3 linked regions of the Lepisosteus oculatus genome follow. The main gene of each other region encodes a partner of the protein of the gene in region 2 in a complex. Links are inferred from orthologs where the notes say so. Each region holds a gene or a part of one and is shown on either strand. Other genes may lie near its edges. The genes, in order: nup205, ranbp2 and nup93.

Region 1 (10,596 bases), on a different chromosome or scaffold from region 2:
GGATCAGTTAATAAAATCCACGGCTTACTTGCTAACGTTGGCTGTTACATCTCTGTATGCTCCCCACCTCAACCCAGTCAATGCAAAAACAGGCTGGTCTCTCTCCCCCTGCGAAGGACATGGATATATGAGTGGAGTGTTATTTCATTTTGTCCTGTGTATCAAGTTTGGCATTTTATGACCTTTCAACCAATGCATGAAATTATCTGAAAATACAATTTACATAAGATGCAATAAACACTAAATAATAAAATATAAACATCTTATGCTGCACTTCTGAATTTGTTCATTTTTCAGTGTGATTTATTTGTTACTTCTGAGCAAGTTCAACTGTTCACTTGCTTTTTGTTCGATAGTTACTGTATTTTGCTTTGGTTTACCTAATATAAATAAAGTTGGTCAAAGGTTACTGGACTGAGCTGTGTAAAACAACAATTTTTACAACAGTGAGGCTTGGAATTTCCTGCCGTCCCACCATGACCTGTCAAAATATTTACGCAAAGACTAGAGTGAACAAAACAGACAGCGAGTGGGCATTAGGCTCTAGTATAAAACATTGAAAACCCTATGACGCTCAGACTTTGTCTAGAGCTTGCTCAGTGTAAATGACAAACTGTGGAGGCTGGAACATTTAGCTCTGTCTCACCTTTATCTGAAGCACGTCGAGAGGGACAGTTTCTCCCTTCAGGATTGAGAGAGCAGCCTCAGTGATGTGTCTGAAACAATGACAACACGTGTGCCCTGAAAGTAATTCATACTCCAGTGTAACCTCATATATAATCTGTCAAATTTAGTTTCCCGTTTAATTAATCCTATCAAGACTGACCAGCAAAGTACTACTGACAATTTTTACCAAACCAAAAATAAACCCACAGTGCAAGGGAAGAAAGCACTCAGGACCAAGAGAGAAACACTAAAAGTGAACAGTAAGATTAGAACTGACATGATTTTGGTCAGGGGTTGTTTAAGTCTAGGCTTTGAGATACTCACTTCACTCTGTTGTCACTGTGAGGGTGCAGAACGTGACTCAGGGAATTATGGGTACCCAGGGGAATGAAACCAATTGGCGTTTTACTGAAGGAAGCCTTTGGAAAAAAAAAACTTTCATTAGTCTTATAGCATGGTAAACGTAACTCACAGCTTCCGTAAACATGATGTAAACTGTTAAAAATCATGCATTACCCACATGAATTCATTTTGTTCTAATGCAAATTCGCACCCCAGTGTTGAGCAGCATACAATTTATGATAAGTGATCATCTTTCGCACCTAGAAAGATCTCCATTCTCCACAATGTTTTCATAGTTAGGATCAACCTTTTTTACAGCACAGTCATGGATGCATCACTGATTTTTGACAGTGGGTTTGCTTTCAGAATACTTTCTGTATCACAGCAGCGGATGAGTTTTGATGTCACCTCACTTCCTTATAGTGACATCTACTCACATGCTAAACTTGCTTCACTCTTCACGGTTGGCTGAAGTAAATCCTTTATATTGGTTTTGGCATTAACCTCTTTAATGCATCATATGCTAAGTCGCATCACACATTGCACAAATTTATAGAGCTTCCTTTATTCAGCTTAATAGTAACTGTCTCAAAGCATTGATGTGTGTGTTTTAGTGTCAGCTCAATCTCAAACCATCCTCACCTGATCAGCTCTCCGAAGAAGGCCAGTTATCACCTACAAAAAGAAGTAACGAAACAGGTCAGTGATTTTGATTTTGTTAAATGCTCCTCTCTATTTAAATGTGCTAACTGTTAGCAGATGCGCAAGGTAGCTAAGAAATGACCAGAGAAGCCAACCTTTCAGACTCATAGGGAGTCACAGAATCCGAACAAACGTGAGAGACAAAAACAGAAAATGGACAAAGAGCCAGAAAAAGCTGCCGAGCAAAGCAGCATTGGAGCTGACAGTGGAAGCCAAACAGAGCCAAAGTGAACAATCTTTCTTCTGTTAGTATGAGTTTAATTTTCTGGAGAGGAAAATAAAGGGCTGTCATGTTATTTTTCACAATCATGTGCTGGCAGTTTTTTTATAATCAGCCTGTAACAGAGTTAAAATATTTTTTCAGACTCATCAAGACATCCCCGTTACTTATGAAGATCAGTGAAAGACCTTCTGTGCATTATTAAGATGTGACACATATGATATGTGATGTCTGAAACGATTATTTTTTACAAAATTGATCAAAACTCTTAAGACTCTATAGACAACATGAATAATTAAATTTGAAAGGGAAATGGGAAATGCATTTTAAAAATTGCATTGTCTAAGAAAGGGGTCAGTGTGCTTGTTGGCTCAGCATGGTTACATGCTGCAAGATGCATATTATAACATTTAATTCTTTATGTTGTTTTAGCTGAGTTGAACATAACTATTGCCACATGTAACCATGTTGAACAATGCAAAATTTTAGAACTCTTTCCTAAAACCGCCCTTTCAAATTCAATTCTTCATCTGACTTTATCAGACATGTTTTCAATGTCTAAAAGACACCTTCAAATGAGCTGTAGCTAACATATTCATCCTTTTGTAGACATACAGTATTTGGATGAGCTTGGAATATTTGCAGAATAAAAAATTAAGCACAGTCAAAAACATTTTTGCAAGCTTTAATACTTGGGGGGCGTGGGCTTGATTCAAGACTGGAAAGCCTTCTGGGTGGAGTCTACACATTTCAAATGTTGCAATCTAGAGATGCTCAGGTTTCCTTCTCCTGTCCAAATGAATGCTGGCCAGGTTAACTAGTGCCTCTAAAATGACCCTGTGTGCCTGCAATGGACAGGCATCCCATCCAGAAAGCAGCCTCTCCATGTGCCTCCTGATTTGCTCCCCTCCTACCAGGAATAAGTGACTTGATGGATAAGGAGCATCATCAGGTCCATCAGTAAATGCAAGTGATTAGAAACACTGTGCTGTACCTCCTGTAGTGTCCCATCTCCCCCTGCCACAATGAGGAGATCAGTATGTTCCATCAGGTCCATCAGCTTTTTTGCCTGGCCTTCATAGTCTGTCTGGGAGACCAAAGCAGCAGACGTGTTGACATGCCGAAACTCAGTGAGCTTTAGAAATGCAGAGACTTTTAATACGATGACCAGAAAAACCTACATACCTTTACAAGCGTAACCTCCATGCCACCCAAGTGCAGAATGGGGGCTGCATTTTTCTCAAACAGGCTGGTGGCTTTTCTGGAAAGGAAAAGTCCCAGATAGATGCTTAAAATGTCGTGCAGCTAACAAGCAAGGAATTGTAGTTCATACTTCTGCAAATGCATTCCGTAGTTTGGCATGATTGTCCCTTTATCTTACCCGCTGCAAGCTGCAGGGTTGAGAATCACAGTGGCTTTTTTCACTTGAACATGTGCAGGAATCCCCTGGTGACCATACTCCTAGAAATGAAAAACACAGCTTTGACATCAGTCTTGACAGTGCTAGTTATTTTTGAGGGGGGGGGGGAAGAAAACTGTACCTGGAATTTTTTTCATTGTTGCAAAAATAACTTAAAAATTGTGATGACCAAGATTATTTTGTATTATTATTCATTATTACATGTTTTCTTATATTTTTTGTTTCTTTTCACTAGTTCATCCAAATTGATTAATGCCATCTATTTATTTTCCCAAAACAATTAGTTAAAGCAAAACTAAAGATAAATTGCTTATGGCTTGAAAGAACTTAATAGTGAGTGTTGTATCCTTCTGTTCTTCATGTAATCTGCTCTTTTATTATATATTTTTTTAAAAGCAGATATAGTGATACAGTTCAACATCATTCATATCTACAGCAGCAAAAAGCAAATAAGCAGAAACCTAGTGTATTCTTTACCATGACACTTTTTCTTTTCTAGTGCCAATATGTAAGTACAGAACCCAAAACTTAATGTTTGTAGCTAGTCTTGTTGTTTCCATTAGACTAGTTGTATGCTTCTGCAGAGTAATATCCATACCTATTGTCTAGCTTTACAGGATGCTTCCCATAACCGTTACACGAAGCCAATCACAACTACATGCAACACACAAAAACAGAAATGTACACACAATACATACAGAATCTCTTACCCGGGCTTCCTGACAGGCTGCCCGCCGCAAAAGATTGTCGCTAGAAAGAACAGATTCAGAAATGAGGAAACCGGTACATTTTTTTTTACATTCTGCAGATGTTTTTAATACATCTGGGACTTCTTTTTACAAAAATGTTACATATGTGTTGCAAACAATGCTGTACATTAGCAGCACAATCATATTAACATTGTTTTAGATAAGTGCTTGGCAATTAACATACTAATTGTTCTAGGGTCGAATGTCACTGCACCCAGATATAACCGAGCTGAGCAAACAAGGACATTATGACCCCTACTTTGTTAAACAATACGAATTTTAAGACAAATTCTAAATATGCCCAGATTCCGATATATTATACACGTCTTTTGTATAACATGATAAATTATTGCACAGTAGCTATGTACCAGTGTTTTCCATAGAGCCAGTGTCCACCGTAGGATACCACACAGACCCCGAATACAGACTTCTTCCAGTGATTTCTCAAGGTCTGCAAGATTTTCAGCACCCGTGCCATGAGGAGGAAGTTAGTGACCTGTCACCAGACAACTCCGTCAACACCCTATCTAAATATAACACTATCAAGACATTAAAAACAAACAATTGCCCTTTCCCCACAGCTCACTCCGTTCTCACATGCAACCTCTAATAGTGCAGCAGCTAAAACAGTCCCCATGCGCCGGAAATATTTCTTTAGTTCCCACACTGTAGGCACGGTACACAAATCAGCGCTTATGGTTTTATGTCATGAAGACAACGAATACAAAATTGTTTTTTTTCGAAGTACAGTCTGTTTATTACATACAGTGAATTGAAAGCGTGTGGAATCTTTTTTTGTGTAATAAAATATCCATTAGTCTCACTATAAATGTCAGCACAGCTCTTCTGTCATTTATAGGGGACTTATTTATGTCCCCTATGTTTTAAACAAAAACAGACACGCATATAAACAATGTATATATATATAAACATATCTTCTTTCTAAAGCACACCAAAGCCTGAATAGGTTTTTGTTGTAAGACACGCATTATAAATCTACAGAATTGATAAAGCATTTTTTTATAGCCGGAGAAGACTACATTTCCCGATATAAAAAACGTGTTAATCTTTCTTCCGACATTCATACTGGACCCCGCCTGAACAGAAATTTAGAATGGCACTAGAAACGAGCAACAAATTATGTTTACTTGTAAAATATGCCTTTGATTCCCTGTGGAAAATTATTTCGTTGTCCACAAATGAAAACAAACACCAATGAAGACGAAATATTTTAACACTACAGCTTTAAGAATATAGCTTTTATATTTACTCAGGCATGCATGAGACACCCCTTGTCTATAGAGCCTGAGTTGACTCCAACATGGCTGCGCAGATGGCGGTAAATTCAGGTATATTCATTTTAAAATGTATATATGTATTAAATAATCATATTAAGGACATAAAGTAATAAAAACAGTCCGTAATAACGGTGCGTCTTAAATATATAACACACATTTTCGTATAACTGTTAAATATTTATAGAAAAAGCGACCAGTAATACCACCGGCAGCATTTCTTGTGTTGCATGGGCACACTAGTTCTTGTGATGAGCCATGCTATTGCAGAAGCGGTGTTAAAAGAAAGCTTAAGAATACAATCGAAGAACAAATGCATGCGCCCCACAGTCGTTCAAATAGGACATCTTTTCGTGTCGGGATAGGAAAGTAGCTAGATGTGATCGGGAGAAGTGCCTCTTTGCTGTTGACGGAAGTTTTGCGTTGAGCTATTTTGAAACGAATCTGAAACTAATCCTGCTGGTTGTGTGGTTGTGATTGATGATATTTATTTATGTTTTTGCATTGTACTTCACCTGATTTGTTAATGATTCATATAAAACAATAACAGAAACAACGCCAGTATTGTCAGTCGTAATTAAGAAAATTACGTAGCGTTATTCGCTTTATTTAGAGTTTTGCCAGTACTGAATGTGAAATTTAGAAAAGGTGCATTTTTTTATTTGGATAGATTAGGGTATTCTCTGAACAACTTGACGCATGGTTTTGCGTCAGTGAGAAATCACTGTAACGACATGAACTGGTCAGTGGAGATTGACAACGTACTGTATGTATTCTTAAGTAATGTATTGGGATGAATTTAGACACCTGCTGACAGTTCACTATAATGCCATTATTCTTGCACGGGACCGCTTGTCTTGATTGTGTACGATTCTTAAGAATTTGCATTTCTTTATTGTGCGATTTGAGGCTTGAATATAGAACCGCGTTGTTAGCACGCGAGGGGAATCATTTTTGTTGCAGTTAAATGTTTTGTTCCTTGTATTTTGTTAAATTAGTACTATTGATTATGTGTATGTACAGTAAACCCTCGGATTAACGGACTAACAAGAGGGGAAAAGGGGTGTCCTTAATTGACGAATGTCTGTCAGATCAATTATGACGTTTTTCTGTCCCAAGACACACATGTATGCATATAAACTGTACTATACGTTTTATCTGAATAGTTTGTCTTATTTTTGACATTTTTGATCCTAAATATACAAGCTCCATTTAATAAATCATACGTATACGTTATAATATTCGCTAAAGTTTACGAAAAACAGATAAGCAATTGACTTTACTCCTACAGAGCACCTTTGACGTTCCTGAATTTTAAAACTATGTAGTATTTGTTTTTAAATCCGGTAAATTGATGGTTTACTGTATACGCAAAATACACTTTAAATGTCTGTAGTATCTTTACTGAATGTCTGAATAAAAGAACGAGAGAGATGCACAGATATGTATACTTTGAGTACATTGTACGCACAGAAAGAAGACTGTCATGCTGCTCTGATGTTTTTAATCTTACAAAACGTAATTTCGGATGACGTTCTGAAGATTGTTCCATAAATATTTTTCTTATATTTTGCTCACATCACAAGGGAAAATTTCATAAAATATTTTTTATTCAGGGTGGTTTGCATTGCTGCCTCACAGTCCAGGGTGTATCCCTCCTTGCACCCGTTGCTTGCTGGGATAGGCTCCAGCTCCCCTGCGACCCTATATTGGAAAAAGACGTTAGAAAATGGATGGATATTTTGTTTCAAGGGAGATGGCGAAAAGTCTAAAATGATTAGGTGTTCTAATACTTCTATTACTTAATCAGAATTATGATCAAATAAGTGGGTGCTGCATTTCAGTTTTGCATAAAGTAATGGGACTCTGCATTATAGAAGGCAAAAAATTACTGTGTAATAAGCCTGCACATAATAGAAGATCAGGTGGTGAAGTGAGAAATCGCTTAATTTGAATGAAGTAAAAACTTTAGGTAATTGAGATTTTGCAAACCCAAGATTTTGCATAGACAGTATTTACCATATTTACCATACTGGGGTGTTGGTTTGTAAATTCAAACCAACAGCCCAGTTCCTTGTCTAGCTTTTGCTATCAGATAAATCAGGCTACAGGGTGGTAATATTAAGGTATGCAATGTGAATAAAAATACATTGAATATTGAGACCAATCTAAGTCACCTACAGCTGTAACAATATAAAGTCTACACACATGATACAGAAAAGACAGCTGTATCCCTAATTACAAATCACTGTTTTCAATTAACATTGAAAAAACAAGGAAATGTTTTTGAAGTTCAATCCTATCAGGGCAAGATGCATCTACTTCCTTCTCAGGTCACTTCTGATATTAAGACACTTGTTGTTTCAGTCTCGTACTGTCAGCTTAATTCACAAGCTGTTCTTCTGAAGTAAAAATGGAGAACGAAAATTAATTCACCTTTGACTTCCATACATAGTTAACCATATATTAATTTGAATAAAGCACATAGGATTAGCAAAGAATAGGTGATGCAGTGCAGATGAAAATGTTTGGAATGTGGCACAGCTTTTTTATTGTTAGGAATTAACCTTTAATTGTTAGGGGCACTAAATTAAAAATATTAAAAAGGCACCTGTTATTATTACAGTACAACGTACACAAGTACTGTCTTTTCGGTACTTTGTTTGTTTGAGGTGATGTCTAGGTTTTTTCTCCCAAAGAGAGAGGTGTTAGTTGCTGTACTTCCTGCTGATGGGGATGGGTTTTGCTTGGCCTGAGCTGACCTCCTCTGCCCCTTTTAGGAGCCAGTCTGTGGGGGCCGTTCAAAGAGTTCTGGGAGACAGTGGTCAGTGCCATCTGGAGGAGGCAACCAGAGGCCGTGCATCTCCTGGACCTGATGCTGAAGAAACACAAGCCCCACTTCATCTCACTCTTCAAGAACCCGGTAGGGTGTGAATTCTTGATATGTTTAACGTGTGGTCACAGCGGCGTTCACATGCTGAATGCCTTTAGACAATGTGTGGAGGCAATAAAGACGGCAAGCAAAATTTCAGGATGTCTCATTAAAAGTAGGTAGCTGCCTCAGCATGCGTAGGCTGCAAAGGAACAAGTTAGTGATTATTCCATGCTGAAAAGAGAAGAAAATAAATATGTTTCGGCTGTTGTTTCTTTTCTTCTCTTTTCAGCATGGAACGAACCTTTACTTTGTTCCAATGCACTGTTATGAACGTCTTTAGACTTTTGGGCGAAAATGTGGTAACCATCTTGCAGATAAGATGTTGCTTCTTGAAGATCTAAATACAGAGCCCTTTTGACTCTTCAGTGACATTGACAAAGGAAGTTTTAACTATCTAACATATTTTCTGCATTCTGTCTTTGATAAGCTATAAAATCTTGTAACATATTGGAGTACTCCAAAAGGATGTTAATGTTGATAAAGACAGTTGGTGTATAGCTTTATGCAGGTTTCCTTTTTAAATACCATTTTGTTTTGTCCTCTGTATGCTTGTAAATATGTGTCTGCTATATAACATGACTTTAAAAGTTAGTTATAAAAAATGTATTTTTCTATGTCATCTGTATATATGACTTTATTCACATGCTGTTGGGAGGTTTCAGATCTTTTTCTTAAATAAAAAAATGTTTGGAGAGTGATCATTGGCATATATGATGGGGGCGGAGCGGTGGCTCTGTGGCTAAGGATCTGCGCCTGTGACTGGAAGGTTGCTGGTTCAAATCCCGCAGCCGGCAGAGGAATCCTACTCCGTTGGGCCCCTGAGCAAGGCCCTTAACCCTAACTGCTCCAGGGGCGCCGTACAATGGCTGCGCTCTAACCCCAAGCTTCTCTCCCTGTCTGTGTGTCTGTGTCTCCATTGAGAAAAGCTGGGGTATGCGAAAAGACAAATTCCTAATGCAAGAAATTGTATAGGACTAATAAAGAAACATAAAGAAACATATTCTGGAACTGCCCTAAAATAAGGCTTTTCTGGAAGGAGTTACATGAGGCCCTGGAAACGATATTTGAAACGAATGTACCCTTTACATTTGAGGCTTTATATTTTGGTAAACTGTATTTTGATTGGAGGCGAACTGATTAATATTTGTTTGGAATCCTTATATCAGCAGGGAAGAAAGCTATAACAAGAACGTGGCTTCTCCCAGATTTACCAGCGATGAATGATTGGATTGAATTAATAAAGGAAATATATATAATGGAAAAATGAACATTTTCACTAAAATTACAAATGAATAAATATGTCTAATATTGGTCTAGATGGGTTCAGTACATTAAACCTTTAAGGTTGAAATTTGTTGAGATACAAAATAACTGAAATTTAATAAGGTACAGTTATATAGTCTCCTCCCTTTTCATATTCATAAATGTATACATCTTTCTCATTTTGAATGTATATCGTTTTGTTTAAAAGTTAATTAATTGTAAAATACTAGGGGAACAAACAGGAATAGACAATTTTTGCTTGTGATGTATAGTCAAAAGTGTTTTGTAAAAGAAAGTGTTGAATAATGGTGGTTTATATGTAAAATGGTTTAGCTTTGTTCTCTAAAATAAAAAATGTTTGGAGAAATTAGTCAGAATTTTGTAGAATAACTGGAGAATTCATAGACTAATTTTGTTTTGATTTCATACAGTATATGTTGTAAGTCCCAGAACTGTGCCAATTAGAAAAAAGTCTTGTCTCTTCCTGTTATCTTTCTCTGAAAGTTTTTATTTAACACAGTAACGTTGGGTCCTGTCCTGGAGAGTCATAGTGTTCTGGTTTTCATTCCAGGTGAACTCTGAATTAGTCAATTGGATCAGCTAGTTAATTAGGTGAAGTTAAAAGTGTTTTCCAAATCTTCAGGAGTGTGGCTGTCAAGGATCAAGATCTGACAGCCATGATTCAACTTAAATCGCTTTCCAGCTGTTGTCTTTGGGTTTATATTTGCCTCTAAAACCACTTGTCTTACAGCCTGTGGTGGGAAGATATATTTGTGTTTTCTTCTTGGGTTGCTACTATATCAGTAGCCTTACATTTGTTACAGTAGGTTGCTCAGCTTTTTGTACATTGTTTTATAACTGTCCCCCAACATTTGGATGTCAGTGACCATTTGCCTACAGATTTCAGATTACAGATTAGTTAAGGTCAGAGGAGACTTCTATGAATTTATCAATGATGATGCATGCTACTACTGAAAGTCTTTTGTGTGTTACCTCCTTCTATG
Region 2 (11,452 bases):
TGGAGAGCTTTTCTCACATCTCTCAAGTAAGGCAGTGAGAGGAAACACCAAGGAAGGATTTTCCCCACCCAGACCTCAAATGAACAATGTTTTTCTCAGTACGGTGCAGCGGTTTCTGTAGCTTTAGCGGCTGCATTACAGACGCCGAGCGTCTCTTTGAGCGGGAGACAGCACGGCCGCCACGCACCTGGAGCGTCTGCACCACGGTGGTGTACCAGGGCAGGCTGTGGCGCAGGACCCCCTTCCTCTCCGCGCCCAGACAGTGCCTGACCGCCTCCTCCAGCCGCCCGTCCAGGCGGTACAGCTGCACCAGCCGCACGTTGACGTGGGCGTCGCCCGGCTGGGCCTGCAGCTCCGACTGCAGCAGGTCGAGCAGCTCGTTCCAGCCGCGCTGGCCCTTCGCGGTCAGCAGCTTCTCCTGGAGGGGAGGGGACACAGAAAAACCAGCAGCTGGGACTTTGCCGCGCACAGCTCCTGGGAAGATGTCTGTAAAGGAGTTCAACCGGGGCTTCGGCCTTATCACAGGCTTCCATTACAAAAGCAAGTGCTTTAACTGGAATGACTAAAAACCAGTGGTTTGAAGTCCTCAGTCTTTAATTTTACCTTTCTAAACTGCAGGTGAGTGTCCTAAGGAAAAGCCAGAAGAGATCGATGCTGGCAGCACCGAGTACTAAGAACTGTGAAATGGGACATCCATATGGAATGAAAATAAGAAAGTTCTCATCTGCCTTCATGTATTATCTGGAGCAATTCCATGTGCAAACTTTAAACATGAGAGCGAAAACTATCTCTGCAGCTTGGATCTGCATTCATCTCATGGAACAGTACGGTGTTCTTATGCGATACCTCCGGTTAATCCAGAAACACATGACAGAATCCGCACATTAAGTTGTCAAACTCTGGAGGCGAAAACATACAAAAAGTTTTTTTATTTTGTGTGTGTTTGGAAAACAAAATGTAGCACCCAGTAAAATGTTCCATTTGCTTTGCTATGTGTCATGTGGGTTCTGTCACCTTGTAGCAGGGTAGTCAGAGAAGCACAGCAAAACTGAGAATCCTTTTAGTACAGTTTTGCAACATTCAGATCTCCCAGGATGCTGACTTATTTTAGACTTAAAAGCTGCTTAAAATGAATCAGAATAAAAACCTCCTAGTTTTCAACACTTTACATTCACCAATTAATCTTTGCAGAGCTATCTAGCTTCTAATCATAACTGCACACAGGTATTCTGCATTGCTGGTTTGGATAAATGGATAATATGCACAAGGTTAAACATCCTGTTCCTGTGGTAATGCACCTAAGTGAAAAGGCTGGAGCATTCTGAGGATCAGGAGTTCCTGTTTACAATCTCTTAAATAACACTGTACTCAGTAATTGGCAACTGACAAAGTTGTGGTCACTCAGCAGAACTGGTACAGTAACAAAGTGCTTTATCATTGAGCGACACAAGAACATACAAATTCAGACACAACCTTATATAACAATTGCACATAGAAGCAATAACCCACTCCACCTATTTGCGCGATACATCTTGCTACTGGGGTTTTGACAACGGTGAGCAGTACCCAGTACTTCTGAACATCAGACACTGGTAACAAGATCTTTTGAAACCCATGATGGTCAAGAGGCAATCCAGGACTAAACGTCACACTTGACGGCAAACTACTTTCTTTCAGTGAGAAGATAAGAAGCTGAAAGGACAACACGAAATAACAAGCAGACAAAATAATAATACCTACAAAAGCCCTTCCTGCTGCAGCAGCAAGATGTAACATAATCTTGCAGGAAAAACATGAATTTGACGTTCGATCCTTTCCTCGAAGCTCATCATGCCCATTTCAGTACCCACTTGAAGACATACTTTGGAGATGTAACTTTTGATAAATACAACCATTTGTCAACCGTTGCATTTTCTACAACTAGCACTCTGTCACCAGGAGCTGATTAAGTTGTTTCTGGACTTGTCAAGTGACAGATTGGTGAAAGTCCGATGTCCTTAGAACCAATTAAGCGATTTCTGACTGTCAGCCACTGTAGAGCAACCTGCGTGATTAGAAGCTGGATTTAAAATCTTAAGACTTTTTACAGTGACTTACTTGTGCAGAACATTCTCTGCTCTGGTTTCATTATGAGCAAATACCAGCCTAACTGGAACTTGATCTGTGGCTTGAATGGCTCCCTTTGCACGAATCAAATTCTAAGAACTGCCAGCTTACATATGTAGCTAAGCCATGAGCAGCCTCCTTCCCAGCAGAGCTCCGCCTGTGTTCACTAACCTTCAGGTTGTAGACTGCAGGGCTCCCAGGGAAGAACTTGGCTGCCTTCTCCACCCAGTACTCCGCTCTGCCATCAGGCTCATCCTTACTGCACAGCAGCTGTGCCACCTTGAGGACCAAGTCTTTCTGCGCAGGATTTAGGTCCACAGACCGCTGCATTGAACAAAACATAAAATACGTGGCCACTGAACTCCAGAACTGCACACATCTCCAACACAAGTCTCTGCCGGCCCCGATGCAAGTCACGCTACTGCAGCTTCTGAAACGTTCAGTGCGTTGCACTACTTACACCTTCAACATTAACATAATCAGACTGTTCATACATCCATTTCAGGGTTGCCCAGTTGATAAATCTGGAAAGCGAACGTCCTCAGCAAACTCCGACAGCCATACAAGGGCTTTTACTAAGTGGTATGTCTGTCGGGCTGACCTCCTTACAACAGTGATCTGTGCATTTTAACCTGTTGGACACAACGACCAAAGTCTTGCAGACAGTTGCATAAAGCAATTTAACCTAACCTTCCATACCTTTTCCCTTAAATATCTGAATGTAATAAGTATGCAGAACAAACCGGCTTAACCCAATGAAGTCCATAAAATAAATAAATGAAACACTGATATTGATCAATGCTTAAGGTATTTTTATGGACCCAGTGACTGGACTTGCAGTAGGGCTGACATCACACTACAACATATCCTGGGTTAAAACGGTCCCTTTCATTCTTCATTCATTTTGCCTGGAAAGCAAAATGGGGGGGGGGGGGAGATTTCTTGATAAAAGCGCAGTTCAGACCTTGTAGCATCCCACCGCCTTCTCGATGTCCCCTTCTTCTTCATAGAGCTGTCCCAAAAACTTGTGTGCTTTAGGATCCCTCTCCTGCACAGTTAAGTAGGCTGAGACATGTCTAAGAAAATAAATAAATACAATTTTAAATACAAATCTTCTTCCTCAGCCAGGCGCAATGGCAGAACCTGAAGGTTTCTGCTTACCTTTTCGCGAGTTCATATTCCTTCACATCGAAGTACAGCTTAGCAAACAGAAATCCCTTTACAGGCTTCTGAAAGAAGAAAAAACAGAACCAGTGAGCCAGCTGACAAAGGACTGTCTGCAGCGAATGCTTATTAAAGGCAACAGGGACTGAAAATCGAATCACATTTATAAATCATCAACTTGCAAGCAGACTGTAAGATTACAATGTTGTCACTTAAAAGCATCACTGAATTATACAAATATACAAACAGTACTGGATACTTAAACTGAAATTTAGATCAGCACTCTTTAAAAGTTTTAACAAAGCAATCTATAAAGTACAGAGCTTTACAAGCTCTAAGGAAAAAAGTCAAGACATACATTACTGGACAAAATGTTCCAGGTGGCACAAAGAACAATTTCTTACTTCACACCAGGAATAGGTGTGTCGCAAACCATGATAAAAATGGTGGGAGGAAAGATCTATAAACGTTTGATTTTCCCCTGAGGCAAAAATCGTGATTATATCTCAATCAAAAGCAGAACAGCCTGTTCCCTTTTTCTAATGTGGTTTCACATTTGTTTTACAAAATGTCACAATTAGAATCAAATATTATATTACCAAACACACTTCTAATCGAAATGGTGAGGTCGAGTACTGTACTTAAACCTTTTGAATGTTATTTTCATCCAGTCTTATTTCAGCTGGTTGCTACTTCCATTCTAAGAAGTCAAACCAAATTGTTTTCTAAGTTATAAGACATACAGATTGTTTTCTTTCAAAAAGTTGATTACCCAAAATATTCACGTATGAAACACTCTGGAAATTGGTTAGAATTCTAGAAGCATCACAGTTATTTAGTTTTCATTTGAAAGTAGTTGTAACAGTGCACCAAACCAAACGACGAGGCCCTCCAAAAATTAAGTTTAAGATCTTGTGTAAAGTACATGTCAACTATAAAAATAGTACCACAAACATAAGCAACGATTACGAAACACCTGAAACTGTAGTTAACAAGCAGCTCATGATCTGCAGAGGAAGCAGGACCGGCGATTCTAAGGCGCTCCGCTCCCACTTTCAAAACATTCGGGCCCGCCGCGCTTTCCTAGGCAAAGGGGGGCTCGACCAGGAACTACGCGTGGCTCCCAAAAGCATGTTTTCAGTGCCCAACACCGAGTTCAAACTTCGTATGTGTCCAGCGTCCACAACACAGAGCACCCCTCGATCCCGTGCCCGACAAATTGATTACTGAGCCCGCCGAGGCCTGCTCTGTTCTCCGCGGCACTCCGGCGGCGACTCCATGCCGGCTTCCACTCACCTCCTTTAGGGACGGAGAGGAACTCTGCACCGAGGACACGTAGCGATCCACGTCGGCCTTGCTGCGCCGCATGTTGTGTTACGAATAAATAAAACGTGCATACACCCAAGAGATTTAATCGCTGAAAAATACGAAAAAGTAACCAGCCCGGTTTCTTCTTAGTTCAAACTCCCCTACGAGTGCGGCTACTGTACCACTCGTAGACAGTAAATGGCTGAAGGAGCCCTCTACACGCCCGCCCAGCTCTGGCGTCAGTCGCTGACAGGAGGAGACGTACTTCCTGAGGGCCTAGCGATTACTTTTTAAAATTAAGTGGAGGGAGGTGGCGTAGACTAGAAAGATATTATGGCGTAGCGCTGTGGGGACACTGTGATGTCACTGGCTTTCATTATTATCGGTGTTATCAAAGTAAACGCAGTCTTTCCATTTATTGAAAGGGCGGGGCAAAGATTGGTTTTATTTTCGTTTTCAAAGCTATTCGGATTTTTTTCCCCTCACAAATTCAGCGCTATCGCTAATATTTTCCCTCTAGGAGCTTTCAAACGCTTATCTGCTTTATTTTGTTATTGCTTTAGGTGTTGAATCCATTTTTTGCATGTTTCTGAAGTTTATACGACTTTTTGAGTGGTGGATGTGCGACTACTTCGTTCATTGAACTCCTGTGTTTAGTTCAACTTCCTACTTATAAATGTCTCTTAAAATACAAAAGTATCTGAAAGAGTCGCAGTACATACTGTCATTATAACGACCACATCTATTTATTTCTAGATAACTGCACGACAGAATGCGCGATCATCTGCATGTGATAAATTATCCATATAATACATTAGTAATGCAAACCCTTTATAAACAACTATATTAATAAAAAGCAGACGGACAGTGCCTGGGAGATTTAGTACAGTAGTATTGGAATAATATTTTCCTAGACCAAGCGTTATGAATTTTAGCAGCCATTTCCCTCCACTCGATTTAAAATATATAATATTTTTAAGGGTAACATTTCAGGGCACAGTGACCAACATTTAGTTCAACAAACTTGAATGCCACCTTTGTAAAAGAAAATTACAACATTTATTGTGTTTAAACCAAAAAACAGCACAGTAACTCTTATGACCTCTGTGCTTAAATTTCAAGTGGTGCAATTCTGAATAAAATTCTTAAGAACTATTTCTAGAAAATGCAGTTGTGTGTAGAATATCAGAATCGCATCGTTACAATCAACTTTCTCATTGTTTCCTGCAATCTGGAAGCAGATTTTTTTTCTCCTTTTCTAGTGTTGGTTCTCAGATTGTTCTTCTTAAGGCAATCTGTACTGAAATCACTAACCCAAAACAATACAAAGTAAAATAAACATTTAATCAACTTTTGGACTCTGAGTTCTTTCATGTCGATTGGGAAATCGATCGACCACAATGTGGCAGTGTTTCTAATTTTAAAGTTGGAGGTGCTGTATGACAGTGTGTCACAGTACATGGTTTTAAGAGATAAATGACACAGTGCTGGAGGAAAGTAGAATTATTCAAGAATCCCAAGAATTGGTACACCACAGTTTAACCATGTGCAGCAAACTATGCACATGTAGTCAGGAATCCACACTTTATGCTTCTAAAATCAAATCATTGTGATGTACCTTAGAAAATACATTTCAGATTGAATTAAAAACTGAGGAGTTTTCAGAGGATTCTGTTGTCAATAATTGTGGAAACTAAGGAAAATAGGTATGTTAATCCAATAAGTCATAATAAATGAATAATTGTTGTATGAAAATGAAAGAAATGGCTTAATGTAGTATTGACCTGCTATAAGATCACCGTAGTAACTCATCAGAAAGTACAACACTGTCTCTTGGCCTATGTACTGTATAGGCAGTCTTACCACTGCAGAGTTTTAAACATAGTGAACACTCGAATTACTCTAGAGGAAGAAATCTCACATAGATATCAACAGCAGTAGCCATCGATTTAAAAATGTTTGATCTCTATGCTCCTGCTCTTTAAGATTTTCTTCCTAGACGCCACAGTGTTTTGTTCTGGAGCTGTGGTGCTATTGGGGAGTAGAAATGGGCTATATGGGGCAAAGTGACACATTTTTTCCACCTAATTCAGTTTCTCCCTAAGTTCTTCAAAGGAAATGTCAACTTAAGATATTTCTCAAATATAAATTATTTTGAAGCCTCTACAAAAAAGAGCTGTGAATTAGTGCTTAAATCATTCTTCCTGCTGGCAATAGAAGTGAATAAGCCCAAGACATTTTAACAAACCTTTCTATATACACATCTATCCATGATCCATCCATGGATGGATATCCATACTCATGATCCATCCATTTTCAGTGGATATTCTACTTACGGGAACCTATCCCAGCAAGCACCAGGTGCAAGGCAGGGTACACTCTGGGCAGGACTCCAGTCCATTGCTGGGCACACACAGACACAAACACACGTTCACACCAGAGCCACTTTTCCCAGAAGGCAATAAACCTACCAATATATGTTTGGACTGTTGGGGGAAAGCAGAGCATCTGGAGGAAATCCATGTGAACAATTAGAGAATTCCACAGAGATAGCACCCCAGATGCAGAACTGAACTCAGAGCCCCAGTGCCATGAGGCAGCAATGCTAAACACTGCACCACTCTCTATAGATACATTTAATTTTAAGGACCATTTATCTCTGTAGTCTATGCCCATTCACTTATTAATCATTTAGTTTTCAACCCTACCTCTCATTTTCAGAGATGATTACAAATTGCAACTGTGTAGTAATAATTAGTAGGACACTTATTCTTCACAACTTTTCCTCCAGTATGGAAATGTTATTCAAACATTCTACACTGAGAAATGAAAAGAGCCGAATCTCTTTGGTTTTGTCCTGTCTATACGTTTAATGTAGTGACACTCACTTCATATCCTGTAAAGCTACAAATCTGGAGGTTTTCTTGGTGACTTAATTTAAGGGCTACAGACTCGTAAAGAGTGTGAATTTGGAGCAAACTGAGATAGCAAATGAACTGTCATGTTGAATCAAGTGGAATGCAGATGAGAAAACTGGCTGGTCCAGAACAAACCACACCCGTTTGCTCTGCTGAGGACAAATATTGTTACTAAGACTTCTACTACTTATAGGGTCAATTAATTACTAGATTAGCGAGACTGAGGAATATCATGTTTCTGCTGTCAGTAGTGGTGATGAGCCAGTAGGTGGAGCTCTTTCTCTGGATCAGCTCAAAACCAGTGTCCCATTTTGGTGATAGGCAGCACTTCTGTAGATGATGACATCCTTCAGATAACATAAACTTGAGGACCTGACTACTTGGTTTCCAAGAAAATAAGTGTGAACTCCAGTTAGGTCTTATATAATCTGACCTCCCTAAATCCTTCCCTTGATTTAGCTGTTGACGGTATTTCATACTCCTCCCCAGATCTGCTGTGCGGAGGGGCTACACATCTGCAGCGGACGAAGTAGACCCCTGGGGAGAGACCACCTGACGAAGTCCCCCAGAATCGAGAAGATCTCAGGTTTTCACTAGTTATGCCTTTTGCCTCTGATTTATCCCTCCAATCGAAACACATTGGGAGTATAGATTCCAATGGAAATTACGATTTCAGCAAACTAAAAAAAGAACAATCACATTATACTGTTACAGTGCAGTAATGCACATAACACATTAGGGAATTATGAACATGGATCAGAGGCTACAGGCATTTAACCCTTCAAGTAAATGATATACAATTTTTATTTCTCAACTTTACACAAGTGTTCTTTTTTATTGAAACTCAATATTGCACATTTTATAAAGTTCATTAAATGCTGAATGGATGTAAATGGCATTCAATCCCTTGGGGCTATGTCAGGAGATTGAGTCGTAGTGAATGTGTAGATTTCAGAGTCAGGTTGTCTTCAGCTCGAGAGTCCGATTATCCAGGCAGTTGCCATTCATTGAATCTTACAGATCCCTCCATGTGTTCCTTAAAGAGCAGGAGTGAATGGAATGAATGGTGCTAACCCAAATGGGCCTAATGGAAAAACAAATAATTCCATCTGCATGGAAAAAGGCAGTAGCATCTGACTGCAACTTGGACATCTCCAGTGCATCACCCAGCACAATCTGAGGCAGACGTGTTACACCAAATGTCCAAACACATGCGGCTCATACTAGAACACCACAATCTGCAATGACTTCACTGTACAAGAGATTGAGAATATACATTTTATTTAATACTGGAGCTGGCTGCTTGAATAATACAGATAAAGATAAAGTACAATATTTATTGGAGTGATCAGTGATGGTTACAAGCAGAATTTCAAGACTGGCACAGAAGCTCTTCTAAACAAAAGTGTGGCATCACAAACTGTGAGAACATGCAACATGTTGAATGACAGTCCAAGACATTGCGACTCAGATTCTTGACCTTCAAAAAGTAATTCATACAGTACACATTTGAATTTCATGTCTCAATTATTTGCACCCATTTTTAGTGTCAAATTTTATCATGGAATGTGTACCATGAATTCATGTTTACTGTGAGGTTTTAATAAAAGAAAAGCAGCGTTTAAGAAGCCTTATTCATCTTTCTGACGTTCATGAAATCTCTTTAGCACGTTCAGGATTAACTGCTGGTAACTCATCTGAATACGAGATGTTAAAATGTTCTTTTGTAAATGGTTTAGGTCAAGTGTTGTCAGTCAAATCTGATATGCTGTGCAAAACATCTTCACAGACTGTTTTATTACTAACTTACAGTGATGGTACAAAGTATGGACTGCTTAGAGGTCTTGCATTGCCAGCAAGAAAGGTGAAATAACCTGTTTTCATAGATCAACTGAACTATACTCTATAAACAGTGATTACAAAAGGTGAGAAAGAAGAAAAAAAAAACTGCTGTCAGGTGGTCTTAATTTGTTTCCACACTAATGCACTTTAAAAAAGTAAACAAAGTGTAACACTGCTCCAGGGTAGGTAAACAATGCTTGGCTGTTTATAGCTGTGAATAATTTCTGGTTAGCAACAGAAATTATATTCAATTCCAATCTCTTTACCCTCAGGAAGTATTCCTTCTCCATCAAGACAGAGATGAAGATGTGTTTAAATAAACATGAAATGTATTGGCTAATCTGTTTTTAAGGCAGTGTCTCTCAAACTTAAGAACAAGTATAAATCTGACTACCAAAATACAGGCTGTCAAAACACAGCAGACCACAAATACATTATTGCTAATAACTACTATGTAACAGGTACAAAACTGATAAGGCACAAGAAACAAAGGATACAAACAGGTACAAAAACCATGCAGGAAAAATCAGCAAGCTTATAAAGGCCCAGCTATAAATAGTATTTTAAGAGGCACCGATTACATATCATCTCTCAGAGATCCAAACTGTTAATTCTCTTTGGGCGTTAAAAATGTTTGAAATGTTCGAACACAAGACACTGAGTCCTCCCTTTCTTCCTTCCCTTATTTATAGCATCATCCTTTAGGCTTGAACATGTTATGAACACACACGTTCTACAAAGACTCAACTGGGGAGGACATTTTCAGGCTGTTTATATTTGAAATGCTCGTTCTATGCATTGCTTAAATGCGGAAACACAGAATAAGATTGCTTTGTGTTAGGTATCTTTGTTAGCACTTTTTATTCTTGAAGCTACACAAGGTAAAGGTTTGAGCACCAGGATTAGGCGAAGGCCTCAGATAAAGACAGGACTGAAGTCAGCCCTGATGAAAATTCTGACCATTAATTATTTTACTTCATTATGTTTTCTTATTGAAACAATCGAGCTGAAGACTGGGTGTGCTGGCGCCACTCCCATGGCCCCCTGGATGTGTTCAGCATGGGTAGTGTCCTCCGCCGGGCCTGCACTCCGCGGCCAGGAGGGGTGGGGGCAGGTGCTGGGGTGGGAGTGGGGGGTCTATTTCCTCCCCACAGTTTCTGCCAGCTTCTTCAGCCTCTTCTTCAGCTCCAGGGGGAACTTCTCATAGCACTTCTTGCACACCGGCTTCATGTCAAACTCCACAAACTTGTTCCTGCACAGAAAACAGACGAGCAAAATGAGCCAACGGTGCCCAGCGAGGAACTGTGCGCTCGGCTTCTGCGACCGCGAGGGCGCAGCGACTTCCAAATGCTTTTCGCTCCTCGGAGTGCTAGGAGCCACTATGACAAAGACGTGCATCAAAACAGGGCGAAGGGGGCGGACCCTGGTCGCTCATCGGGAGGGCTCCGGTACCTACAAACACTTCTACTGCCTGTGAAGGCACTTGCACTGCATGGATGGAATAATCTTTTGTACTCAGAGTTCAGGCCCAGATTAAGGTTCGTAGGCCCAAGGCCTTGTGTAGGCCCTGTCTTGGAGGCCTTTTTATAGGTACACCGATTTCTATAGGTAGATGGGTGTTCAAACTGATCTTGAATATTTTTTTCAGAGAGCCTTCCCTTGCTATATATATTCAAGAAGAGATGTTTGTTGCAGTTTTTCTCATACAAAAAAAAATGTCATTTATTGGAAAATCTGTCCGTGCCACTGGCAGACTGAGGTACTGCTGCTACCTGAGTAGGAGCGATTTCTGCAACAGCCTCGGGGCAACGATTAAAGCCTGCGAGGGATGTCAAACAGAGCTGGGGGGGGGCTTGTTTTCATGTTCCCAACTGCTTCTCTGCTCAACGCGTCTGCAAAAACCGACAAGGAAGACGCCCTCATGCAGGCCATTCACATGCACACGGGTTCGAGCCAATCCCAACTGCCAATCAAAGGAGCGGTAGTTCTTCACTGCACGCTGGAGGTTTCGCACAACACAACTGAGAAGCAAAGCCGCCCGCACTGCCTCGGCTCATCTGGTCCTCTGCACGCAGTAACGTAAAACAATTCGGATGAAAAAGTACAGCGAGCCA
Region 3 (11,030 bases), on a different chromosome or scaffold from region 2:
TGACCTACTCTCTGGTCTAAGGGCCTGATCCAGCCTTTTCAGCAGTCAGTACTTTCTGGACCCTCTACAGAGCCAGACAATCAGGACAGCTGTGCCGACCGGGATGAAGCCTCAGACAACACTGTTCCTTGCTGTAAAAGCGTGGCACAGCAGCTAATGTGCTTTAAACGAGCACAGAACCAGCACCGCACCAGGCAAAGAGTGCGCTCTGCTGTCCTCGGCCAACCGAGGCACCTACACCCCCGCAGACATGCCATAGGTGGGGTCCAGCAACGGAGCACTGGGGTATGACGGACTTGCTCACGGACGGCTGGTGCGATCGCCCACTGATCGCCCCCAGATAATCACGACCTGTCAGCGGACATGACGTTTTTCAATTCTGAGTCTAAGGGTGGCCCAAACATGTATTCTATTCTCCTGCCTGGAGACTGCGGCCAGGTGCAGTTTACCAGCATCCCAAAATCACTGCAGCCACTCTTCGTCCAGAAAAGGTCAGATGATCGTCGCCCTTTTCTGGATTCAGGTTTTATGAGCGCCCTCTTCCCTGTCCTCCCACTCAGTGCATTCTGGTTTTGAAAATCAATCCAGATCTTGTTAAAAGAAACTCCACGCGTTGACCCGCGTCTGAGAGCTGCGGCACAGCCTCCACACCCTCCGAGACGGGGGGGGGGAACGTTTCCGTTTTTGAAGCTGCAGCATTCAGGAACAAACATGGCACAGCTCTGCAGAAACATCAGCAGTTTATGAATCCAAGTTGGCAGCTGCATGAGGCTCCCATTAACTCATTAGCATGCGTGCACCATCCCCCACGCAGCCACACAAAGACTCCGGGAGAAGAGTGTGATCACCCCCCCTCCCAGGCCTGCGACTGATCGCCTCGCCCCGCTGACAGCTCGCAGGCTGGCCGCCCCCGCCTCACAGAAATGAGAACCACAGCAGTGGGCTGGCGGGGGGGGGGGGACCCCACGATGAGGAAACTGGGGGTCGGGGGGGTTGTGATCGCAGTGCTCGATGACAGAACTCAAGGACATCGCCTGGGCCCGTGGGCAGTTCATCTGAACACCACCACACCCTAGCCCTCCGAGCGATACGGAGTGATCTGGCCACATCTCCGCATCAGCTCGCTGTAACACGCTGGCGTGGGCATGGACGCAGGCGCTACGCTTAATTCAAGCGTCCCCTTCCATCTCGGTTTCGCCCAAGCCTCGCAGCAGAGATCAATAGCCAGTGACCACAAACTGTTGACGCCTCACTTTCAGGTCTAATTTCAAGCCTGATCCTCTCACTTTCTCCTTGAGGAGCAACACAGTTGTTACTCTGCGCTTCCTCTTCTTCCCAGAAAATTGACACGCAAACTGCACCCCTTAGGGCAATTCAAGCACATGTCTCAGGGCCAGTTATTTCTCATATAAATAGAAATGAAGTAACTAAAACACAGCAGAGAAACGTGAAAGGAGTAAAAAAAGTAAATATATTATGATACGCTGTATCATCTATTAACCCTTTTATACAAGGTTGTCCAACCCTAATCCTGGAGAGCCAAAATCCAACAGGTCTTACAGGTCACTGCTAAATCAGCAGCTTGTGAAGGCCTGCAACAGCAGCCTCGATCAGACTGGGGGGTCCACTTGGTCAGTTAAGCCAGCACCACTTAGAGAGCAACCGGCTGCTCACGTTTCCCTTTCCAAACGTTTTCATTTCATTTCAGATGATCTCGCAGCTACTGAATCGAAACAAATCTCCTGCTTCGCTTTGCTTTGCTTTGCTTTGAGCAAACTCTACGTCTAGAGAGGTCCCTTCTTTCAGCGGGACTCTACCAGCACGAGGGCCAGAGGCACCATCTGAAGCATCAGTGCACCACGGACTGCAACACCATGAAACTCAGCTTGTTCTGTTCCATACTGACAGGCAGGACAGCGCAGCTGTGAGAAATCAGTACCACTATGCACAACAAAAACACAAAATCAGACCACTACAATATCAACCCTGTTACAACCGTAGTGTTAAATATCAACACTCCAACAACCAAGGACCCCGAGATGAGCACGAAGGGCCCTTTTCCAGGCTGGTGAAGCCTCATCTCAGGGTCCCACATGCCCCTTTCACACTACTGTGTTCGTCCCGGGTCGAGCACAGACACAGCATCGAGGCGTAACAGGTCCCACCGGACTGCAGGTAGGCTCGGCGGCGATTGGGGTTCGGCTGCAAACTGCCAGCTTGATTTTGGGGTATTGCACAGCAAAAGAAGGGTCACTCAGGACAGGCAGGGGGCAAGCACAAGCAAGTTCTCCGTGACAAAAGACAAAACCTTGTGATGTTACTGCAACACTCCCTTTCCAAACACAAGCTGGGCTGCACTGAGCACAAAGAAGCACACAGAGCCCTGTTGTACCCACACAAGGGCGACAGTGTACGCAACTAAAGCAACAGATCAGAAGCATTGTCAACGCACAGCATTGACTAAACCTGTAGTCAAACCACATGTGTGAATTCAATCGGATAAATCAAACATCCATCTGCAGGAGCTGTGACTAACGAGAAAGACATTTAAGTTAAAATTGTTGCCTTTAAATTGATTTGGAATTTTCGACCATGTTATCATCTATCTGTATCCAGTTTAGGAAGTGATTCATGTCAGATAGTCCATGCCAGCTGCAGGGGGGGTACATCACCTCCTGATGTCACTGCATGTTTGCTGGGCACCAGGCAGGTCCCAGCAGCCCTTGCTGCATCACGTCAGCTAACGCCAGCAGTATTCTGGCAGCCGTCACGACAGCTGTGTGCTTCTGCTGGGGGACTCCCTGTCACAACCCGCTAGTGACACGACCCAGACTGGACTGGCAGCTTCTGAACCGCAGGGCACTGCGCACCGGATCCTCTGCGGGCCTAGCCCAGTGCCAGGAGACACTGAACCTGATCAGTCCGCCCAGGAGCAGTAGCAGAACCTCTGAACACCCCCCAGTGTCCAAAGGTCACAGTTCTGAGACCCGTGGCACCACCCACACCAAGGACACAAACCCAAGAGCATCCAGGTGGAACAGACTAGTTCTCCTGCCTTCCACACCTGGCACCAATTACAGAAGCCATTTCTGGCTTCTAAGTCTAAGGACTTTATGGTACCCAAGAAGAACGGATACAAGGCCTTCTAACAATGGGTCTGCACAGCGGTGCAAAGCAGACAGCAGTCCTCACCCAGTAACACATCACCAGACCCACACAGGACCCAGGATCCCTCTCAGGACCAGCACGGTACCTGTATATCCGTGTCCTTCACGGGCTCCAGGGGCTCAAACGTTGTTGCCGCGCTCAAGCTCTCCAGGCGCTGAGAGATGTGGAAAATGTCCAGTCCTCTGGATCCCAGCAGGATTGAGCTGAAACAGACAGGCCAGTCAGGGCATAGTGTGGACACAAACCAACTCTGAGCTCTCGCTCTCTGTTTGGGTTATGGGTGTAGAACATTAGAGGCAAGAATCAGCTGAAGTGTGTCAGGGAAATGAGCTATACAAAATGTATCTATACTGTTAAGAGTCTTATTTCTGGTTTCTGTCTTTACTAAAGCAAGCAGCCCAATGTTGCACATTATCAGCTTCATCATCACATTTGCAAAGAGAAGATCATTTACATGACATAACCAATAGCACTATGGCAGGAGGGCAGACTCATAACTGGGCAAGTCTTCCTCCTTAAACCCTGAAGACGAGTACCATTTGTAACCACATTTGCCCTCTGGCAGGGAAGCCAGGGCAAGCATGAACAGAAGTGCGAACAGGGCACAGGCATCAGGAGACAGGGACAGTGACAGGTCTGGGGAACAAGACTACTTCAATGCTGCTCTTTTTCAAGACGACAAGCTTGAGGAGCTCAGATTCCCCCCCCCCGAGCGCCGCAGCACTTACGCCTTGACGTCGGCCGTCTCCTGGGAGGCGCGGGTCAGGGTGCGCGACCGGAGCCTCTCGCCGGCCTGCTGGATCTCCTGCAGGTTGCGCTCCACGTGGGGCAGCTCCGAGATGGCCTCCGTCTCGGCCGCCAGCTGCTCCGCCTGCTGCAGCAGCTCTCCGAAGCCCTCCGCGTCCATGGCCGGCCTGCAGGCAGGAGCGGCGGGACGAGCTGAGGGCGGGAGCTCTGGGCCGCATCGCTCTCAGGACGAACACTATCCACTTATTGACACCACAGTCACCTACAGGCATCTCCTCGGTCCAGGGGGGACCGATGAACGTACAATGGCCGATATCACAACGGGCACCGATGGAGCATCAAAATAACAGAACTTCATACACCCGTCTTTAAAAACTGAAAGAAGGGGCCCCTGCAAACCACAATTCAGATCAGCGTGGGAATTTTTTAAAAAATATTAGTATTCAGCGCCCAGATTTTACACAGCAAAAGCGCAGTTGGGTGTCTTGAATGACTGAAACCCGGCCATTCTTCCCAGACTTGTAAGTAAAACAGCGCGTAATCAGAAATCTGAAACTATTTTGTGCAGGGAAAAAAAAGGCTTTTACAATTTATCATGCTGTTTGGAAAACCGTAAATACATAAGCCTAAGATCAATAACGGACAATAATCGCAGTGTAACCACTGTCCAACGTGCGTATTACCAGCTCGGCGCTTAAGATGTCGAGAAAAAACAGGCCGTAGTGATCCTCTGTCAGAACTAGAAACATCATATACGAGGATTTACTCACCTTCTACCTTAGACTTAAGTAAAGTTATTCGATATCGCGTTTAAAAAGATGTATATTTTGACAGCAGCTCGCCTAACTGTATCCCTCCTTCGGCGGAGCACATTCCTCCCGGCACTTCCTCAACCCTCTTCTCATTGGACCCCACTGCTCCCACAGGCCTCAGCGCCTTCAATATAACTTTATTGAATGACAGGGGAGGACAAACACCGCACTTCGCACTTGCGCGTCGTGAGGCCGACGCCATGTTGGCTCTAGAACTGTGAGCCGCAATGGCGATTACGTGCACCAACCCATTAGATAGATACTTTATTAAAATTGCAGAAATTGCAGTGCAACAACAGCCAGGCACACTCAACACAGCACAGTGTAACAAAATGATACAATAATACAACAATACAATAAAGTCAGTGAGAAGTGCAGTAAAAAATGGAGTATGCAGAGTTGCAGTACACAAGATGTATTGCACAGTATAAATATATTGCACAAATCCACCAGCATATATTGCACATCAGTTGTAAACAGAAAAACCAGCTGTAAACAGAGAATTCATGTTTAGTCAACCTTCCCCTGCCCAGACACACAGTGGATGAGTTGTATAGTCTAATGGCAGAAGGCAAGAATGCCCTTCTCTAGCACTCCCTGTCGCACCGCGGGTGGATCAGCCTATTGCTGAACGTGCTCTTCATTCTCACAAGCGTGTCATAGAGGGGATGGGAGGTGTTGTCCATTTTTGGACACCATTCTTCTCCTTGGCTAAGGATCTGCGCCAGTAGGTTGCCGGTTCGTATCCTACGGCTCGCAAAGGAATCCTACTCTGTTGGGCCCCTAAGCAAGGCCCTCAACCCCATCTGCTCCAGGGGTGCCGTATAAATGGCTGACACTGCGCTCTGACCCCCAGCTTCTCTCCCTGTCTGTGTGTCTCATGGAGAGCAGGTTGGGGAATACAAAAAGACAAATTCCTAATACAAGAAATTGTATGTGGCCAATTAAGTGATCTTATCTTATCTTACCTCCAAGGGACCCAATCAGACTCAATGACAGAATTTGCTCTTTTGATGAGGTTGTTCAACCTGTGCAGCCCCTGCACACCGCTGCTTAGACACCTGCACTCGCTACAACTGACTGATAGAACATATGAAGCATCTTACTACACACATTGAAGGACCTGAGCCTCCTCAAGGAGTAGAGTCGGCTCTGACCCTTCATGTAGTTGGCCTCGGTGTTCTTAGACCATTCCAGTCTATCGTCAATGTGCACTCCCAGGTACTTGTATGAGTCCACTATCTCCACACCACTCCCATGGATGCACACAGGAGTAGGTTGGACCCTCTTCCTCCTGAAGTCTATCACTAACTCCTTCGTCTTTGCCACGTTCAATTGCAGGTGGTTCTCCCCACACCACTCCACACAGCTGTCAATCAGTCCTCTGTACTCCTCCTCCAGCCCACCCTCAATACATCCTACAATTGCAGAGTCATCTGAGAGCTTCTGCAGGTGGCATGACTTTGAGTTGTACTTAAAGTCCAAAGCACAGAGGGTGAAGAGGAACGGAGAAAGAACTGTCCCCTGAGGAGCCCCTGTGTTACTCACCACCTGTTCAGACACACAGTTCTGCAGTCTCACAAACTGTGGTCTGCCTGTCAGATAGTCGGTGATCCATGAGATCTTGGAGGTCATTATCGCTAGCAGCTGGATCCTGATCTATATATTCACTCTCGGTTCTTGAGGCACAAGCTTGATCCGGTTTTCATTCCATCTTGGACTATGAATGATTTTATTTCAATTGACATTTTCTTTTGATCTATATGAGTTCTGTTTGCTCCTTGAGGATTATAATGTTGAATAATTATAAGGCATACGTAAGGGAATATTCCTGGGTCACAATGAGCCACAGCCTAATCCAGCAGTCACAGAGAAAACTGGGGCACCTAGAGGAGCCCGCCAGACCACACACAGGCATCTCAGGTCAGAACTGAACTCAGGACACGAGATCTCCTGAGGCAACAACACTGACCAGCATAACGCTGTGCTCTTCAGCAAAAACTTCAGTAGTTCTTTTAAATTACAATTTTAAAGGTCACTACTTCACACCAGAGCCCTATAACTTAACAGTGCTTAAACATGTGATAACTGTTTTATTGGTCATAGTGGAACATCATGATACATTAATGTTGCATTAAGAGGAGATATATACTATACAATTATTTCCTTCTCATAGTATTCAAAATATTTCCTTTTACTAGAAGAGCAAAGCTCTGCAGGTTCCCTGGGCTGTCTGTGGAAGCCAAGTTCAGACTGTAGTTTCACAGAGGAGATCAGGAAACATTCTGTAAAATGCTCAAGGAGCAATGCTCCCTCTCAGCTGTGCGCGTGTGCGCACGCACACAAGTTATGAAATCAACCCACATAGGGAATTGAACTGCGCACAAAAAATTAAATTCCCCCAAAAATATTATAAAACAATTACAGTTGTCAATTGAAAAATGCTGAATTGAACACAGGAGACTGGCTGCGAGAGGCCCAGCTGGGCTGTGTGCTTTGTCATCGCTACTCGATCGTCGATATCCACACTCTTGTAGTCTCGTACCCCTGCTCCTGCTCGCTCCACACTCGTTGAATCGCTGTCCCGGTCTTTTGGATGTCTATGCTTCTATGAGAATGATTTGTAGGTAAATATTTAAGATGCATCTTCCGTAACTACTGCATTGATACAATTTCAGGGAGTTCCCAGTCTAGGTTACATGATTGAACCCTTATTTGCCCAGGTAATTGGGTTAATATGAACTCGTGGTTTTCTGATGTTAATTAACAGGGGAGAAGTTCTAACTATTGTGTTCCATGGTTAACAAGATCTCAGAGCCAAGCAGAAAAACCCTCATCATACAGGTGCCACTCAAGTAACTTGCGAATTAAATAAACCAGCGCAGGTGGAAGGGTGTTGAAGCGCAGGGGGTGTCAGTCCTCTCGGGAGCAGAGCAGGAGCTCCGACTGACGGGCGCTGTAGTTCATGGAGCTGGAGGACTGCCTTAACACGCCAGGCTCGAACAGCCTTCATGGCCGGCGTCCTGGCCACACTTCCCATTGGCCCTTACCAATCATGGCCACCTAATAATAATCCCCCATCTTGAATTGGCTTCATTACTCTGCTCTCCTCCCCACTGATAGCTGATATGTGGTGAGCGTTCTGGTGCACTATGGCTGCTGTTGCATCATCCAGGTGGGGCTGCACACTGGTGGTGGTGGAGGGGATCGCCATTACCTGAAAAGTGCTTTGAGTGGAGTCTCCAGAAGTGTAAGGAATTATCATTATAGCCACCATCTTAATGATCCCCAATGAAGGGCGCGTTTGGTTTAAAATAAACCAGCATTGTTCGATAGAGCAATTGAACAGAATGAACGCAATCAACGACATCTTTTTATTTTCTAAAGCAAAAGGACGTACAAAACATTACATTTCCAGATTCTCAAGTGCAGTTATACAAGAGGGAAAACGAAGGGCGAGGTGCTCACTGACAGCAGCTCGCGCCGCACTTGCCGTCCTTGCACACGCAGCCGGAGGCGCACTTGCCGCAGCCGGACGGGCAGCACGCGCAGCAGCCTGCGGGCACAAAACCGGCGGTTAGGTCGCGTGGGTTACCGGCCACCCGTTCGCGCGGAGCACTCTTTCGCGTTATTCTCCACGTTGTGGAGGGAAAAACAAGGACATACAATGAACACCAGGAAAATAGAACTGCCAGTACTTCAGGGCTGTCTGTAGCGGCGAGTCTTAACCTGGCGCACGCCCACCTGAGCCGCATTGTTTTGGTAAATCAAACGCACAGAGGAGCTACAGCTACATTGTTTCACTAAAACTAGTTATTATAGTAACCAACACTTTGTTTCAGTATACATGGTTTAATAGCGTAGCATTTTCATGTTTTCGTAGTTTTACTGCGAAATTAAAGTTATATTCCCCCTTTCAGTCTATAATTATGACATCTTGTTTAAAGAGCTGACCTACTTCAACAGTTCTGATAGGTGCGAGACCATATTAAGAGCCCAAGCGGTGCTGTTCCAGTGCAGGTGAAGACCTCCAGCTCTGCAGCACAGCGCTTTCTATAGCCACTGGAGCTTCCGAAAGGATTTTATAGCACGTTAAACCATTCCCAAGCCTACAGCAGCAGCAGCAGCACCAGCAGGGCGAGAACTTACTTTTCTTGCAGCCTTTGCATTTGCAATCCGTGCATTTGCAGCTGTCTCCGCAACTGCAAGAGCCCGCTGTGAAAAATAAAACAAACAAAAGAAAATCAATAAAACATAGATCACACCACAGGTAACCCAAGGACGCCGTTTCCATCACATCAACGTCTCCATCACGTTTTACTTCGTCTATTTGCAAGGCAGAAGTCAGAAACATTATTAACCACTATAAATCAGATCGTTACTTACTTTTAGAGCAGGCGCAGGACTGAGGATCCATTTTTTAATTGAATTTTTTTTTCTCGCGTTTCCTCCTCGTCGGGCTCCGGGGATTGTGAGTGCGTGCCGGGCTCCGGCGGCTCGCGGTATTTATAGGGCGGCCGCTCGCGGCACGCCGAGTGCAAAGCGGAGCGCGCGCAGTCAACAACGGGCCGGCCTGCACACGTCTTGTCTGCAGCGCTCCCGTCGCCAGGCGGTGTGCAAAGCGTCTCACCGCGGCGGGGCTGAGGGCCTTCCTCCGGGCGTCAGGGGATAAACAGTATTCCCATGTCGTCAGTCTGCTGCTGGCGTTGTTGTGCACGCGGTGCGATGACTCGATCATAAGGGGATCTTCTTAATGGTCAACTGATGTGACGATCGATCGCAAAACCTTAGACCCAAACCTGAAAATAAAATGATGTAGAATGTTTTTTATTTTTATTTGTATATTCCAAACGAAACAAAAACGTCTTTCTCGTGCACAGTGGAATGTGATAATGAGAACTGATACCGATTATAACTAAAACAAAAGATTTATTGCCGTTTAATTAATTTACAATCAATCAGTATAATTATAAGTTCTTTGGGCATCCTTTGTAAACCTTCTGATCTAGTGAGCTGCATATGCTAATAAAATAGAATTCTAATATAAAAAATCATAAAATCCTAAGTTATGGTTTTACGTACAATACTTAAATGATGGTACTTATTAATTGTGTGAGTTACTGTAATAAGTCTTGGTAGAAAAACGCTTGCCCGTTATCTTTATACCCATTAATTTAAGGCCAGATAAAGACGTGTTTATTTCGTCAGTGCACAAGGTGTCTTGGCGTCTGGTGATTCTGTTCTCCCACCTACACGCGTGTTTACTGTCTGTCTGGCGCAGCTGCGCTCGAGTCAGGTCAGCGCTGCGCCCCTCTCTCCGCTGCACGCGGGCCGGGAGTCCGGAGCGCTGCGTCACCATGACTCCCGGGGCTCTGCACACGGCACTGCGAGAGCACGAGCCCCGGGCTCGCGGCGTGTTCATCCCCTCCCTTTTGGTTGGCGATAATTAGGAGAAAACACCGTCTAGAACAACACTTCACGGGTCCACAGATCCCGAGTAATGACATATGTTGAATGTTGTAATTGCGTGGTTGCCTAAATCCATCATCCGCTTTAGAATACGGTATTTTTCTTTGTACCCATTGCTGCAATTTTACAGTTTTCACTGCAGTTTAAGAATATGCGAACTTGTTTTATAAGGTGGTAGAATTTTCTGAAAAACGGCGCATTTTGTTTCTCCCCTGACATATTTGCAGCATTGCATTCAGAAGTACTTTGAGTTTCGGTAGTTCTAATTTGTTCAGATTTCACTCATGTCATGTTCAATAACATAAAATGCAAATAAACAGTAAAAAGCGCGCGAAGGCTTGTTGTGAAAGTGTCAAGAATTACTGAAGTTCAGAGCGACTTTTCTCTTTTTTGCAGAACCGTGCATGTTTATGCCAAGAAAGTAGGACTCTGTGTTCATCTAAAAAAAAGTTCATTCCCTCTTCAGAAAGGGCTGTAGGTGGCGCGGGCGCTAGTTGTGAGAGCTCGGGTCCTGGGCGAGCGGGGTGTGCGCGCATGCGTGGGACCTGCGCGCTGGAGGAGGAGGGGAGAGGCTCTCGCTGGCACGCGCCTGGCAGTCCACCCTGGCGTGCCATCCGGCTCGAGGAAACGCCGCTGTGCGGAGCCGCGACGGAGGGCGCGCGGTGGCTCGCGACCGTCTTGTAGAGTCCGGGAGCCCGAGCCCAGAGTCTCCGTGCTGGTGACGTCACAGCTAAGCCTGCACGCTCCTCAGTGTGTTCGCCGCTTGAGACGGGTCGTCCGGTAAGAAACTGCATTTAAAAGAAAAATACAATAACGCACACGTCCGAATTTGCT

The links.
Region 1: ranbp2 (region 2) and nup205 share a complex: the UniProt entries of both Homo sapiens proteins name them as parts of the nuclear pore complex. The link is inferred for Lepisosteus oculatus from reciprocal best matches to the Homo sapiens genes RANBP2 and NUP205.
Region 3: ranbp2 (region 2) and nup93 share a complex: the UniProt entries of both Homo sapiens proteins name them as parts of the nuclear pore complex. The link is inferred for Lepisosteus oculatus from reciprocal best matches to the Homo sapiens genes RANBP2 and NUP93.

Annotation. Positions count from the first base shown.
Region 1 is NC_090702.1:8,695,845-8,706,440, reverse strand, and holds the start of nup205 (nuclear pore complex protein Nup205), read left to right. Parts: upstream 1-5,390; 5' UTR 5,391-5,420; coding exon 5,421-5,448; intron 5,449-8,174; coding exon 8,175-8,317; intron 8,318-10,596. Other genes in the region: agk (acylglycerol kinase, mitochondrial), read right to left, coding at 29-108, 647-716, 991-1,085, 1,651-1,683, 2,925-3,017, 3,116-3,191, 3,312-3,391, 4,061-4,100 and 1 more. UniProt on the Homo sapiens protein: Plays a role in the nuclear pore complex (NPC) assembly and/or maintenance. May anchor NUP62 and other nucleoporins, but not NUP153 and TPR, to the NPC.
Region 2 is NC_090708.1:24,298,522-24,309,973, forward strand, and holds the start of ranbp2 (E3 SUMO-protein ligase RanBP2), read right to left. Parts: upstream 4,851-11,452; 5' UTR 4,639-4,850; coding exon 4,567-4,638; intron 3,336-4,566; coding exon 3,268-3,335; intron 3,183-3,267; coding exon 3,071-3,182; intron 2,431-3,070; coding exon 2,278-2,430; intron 419-2,277; coding exon 188-418; intron 1-187. UniProt on the Homo sapiens protein: E3 SUMO-protein ligase which facilitates SUMO1 and SUMO2 conjugation by UBE2I. Involved in transport factor (Ran-GTP, karyopherin)-mediated protein import via the F-G repeat-containing domain which acts as a docking site for substrates.
Region 3 is NC_090715.1:1,141,689-1,152,718, reverse strand, and holds the start of nup93 (nuclear pore complex protein Nup93), read right to left. Parts: upstream 4,838-11,030; 5' UTR 4,686-4,837; intron 4,083-4,685; 5' UTR 4,076-4,082; coding exon 3,897-4,075; intron 3,372-3,896; coding exon 3,254-3,371; intron 1-3,253. Other genes in the region: mt2 (metallothionein-2), read right to left, coding at 8,192-8,283, 8,877-8,942, 9,114-9,144. UniProt on the Homo sapiens protein: Plays a role in the nuclear pore complex (NPC) assembly and/or maintenance. May anchor nucleoporins, but not NUP153 and TPR, to the NPC. During renal development, regulates podocyte migration and proliferation through SMAD4 signaling.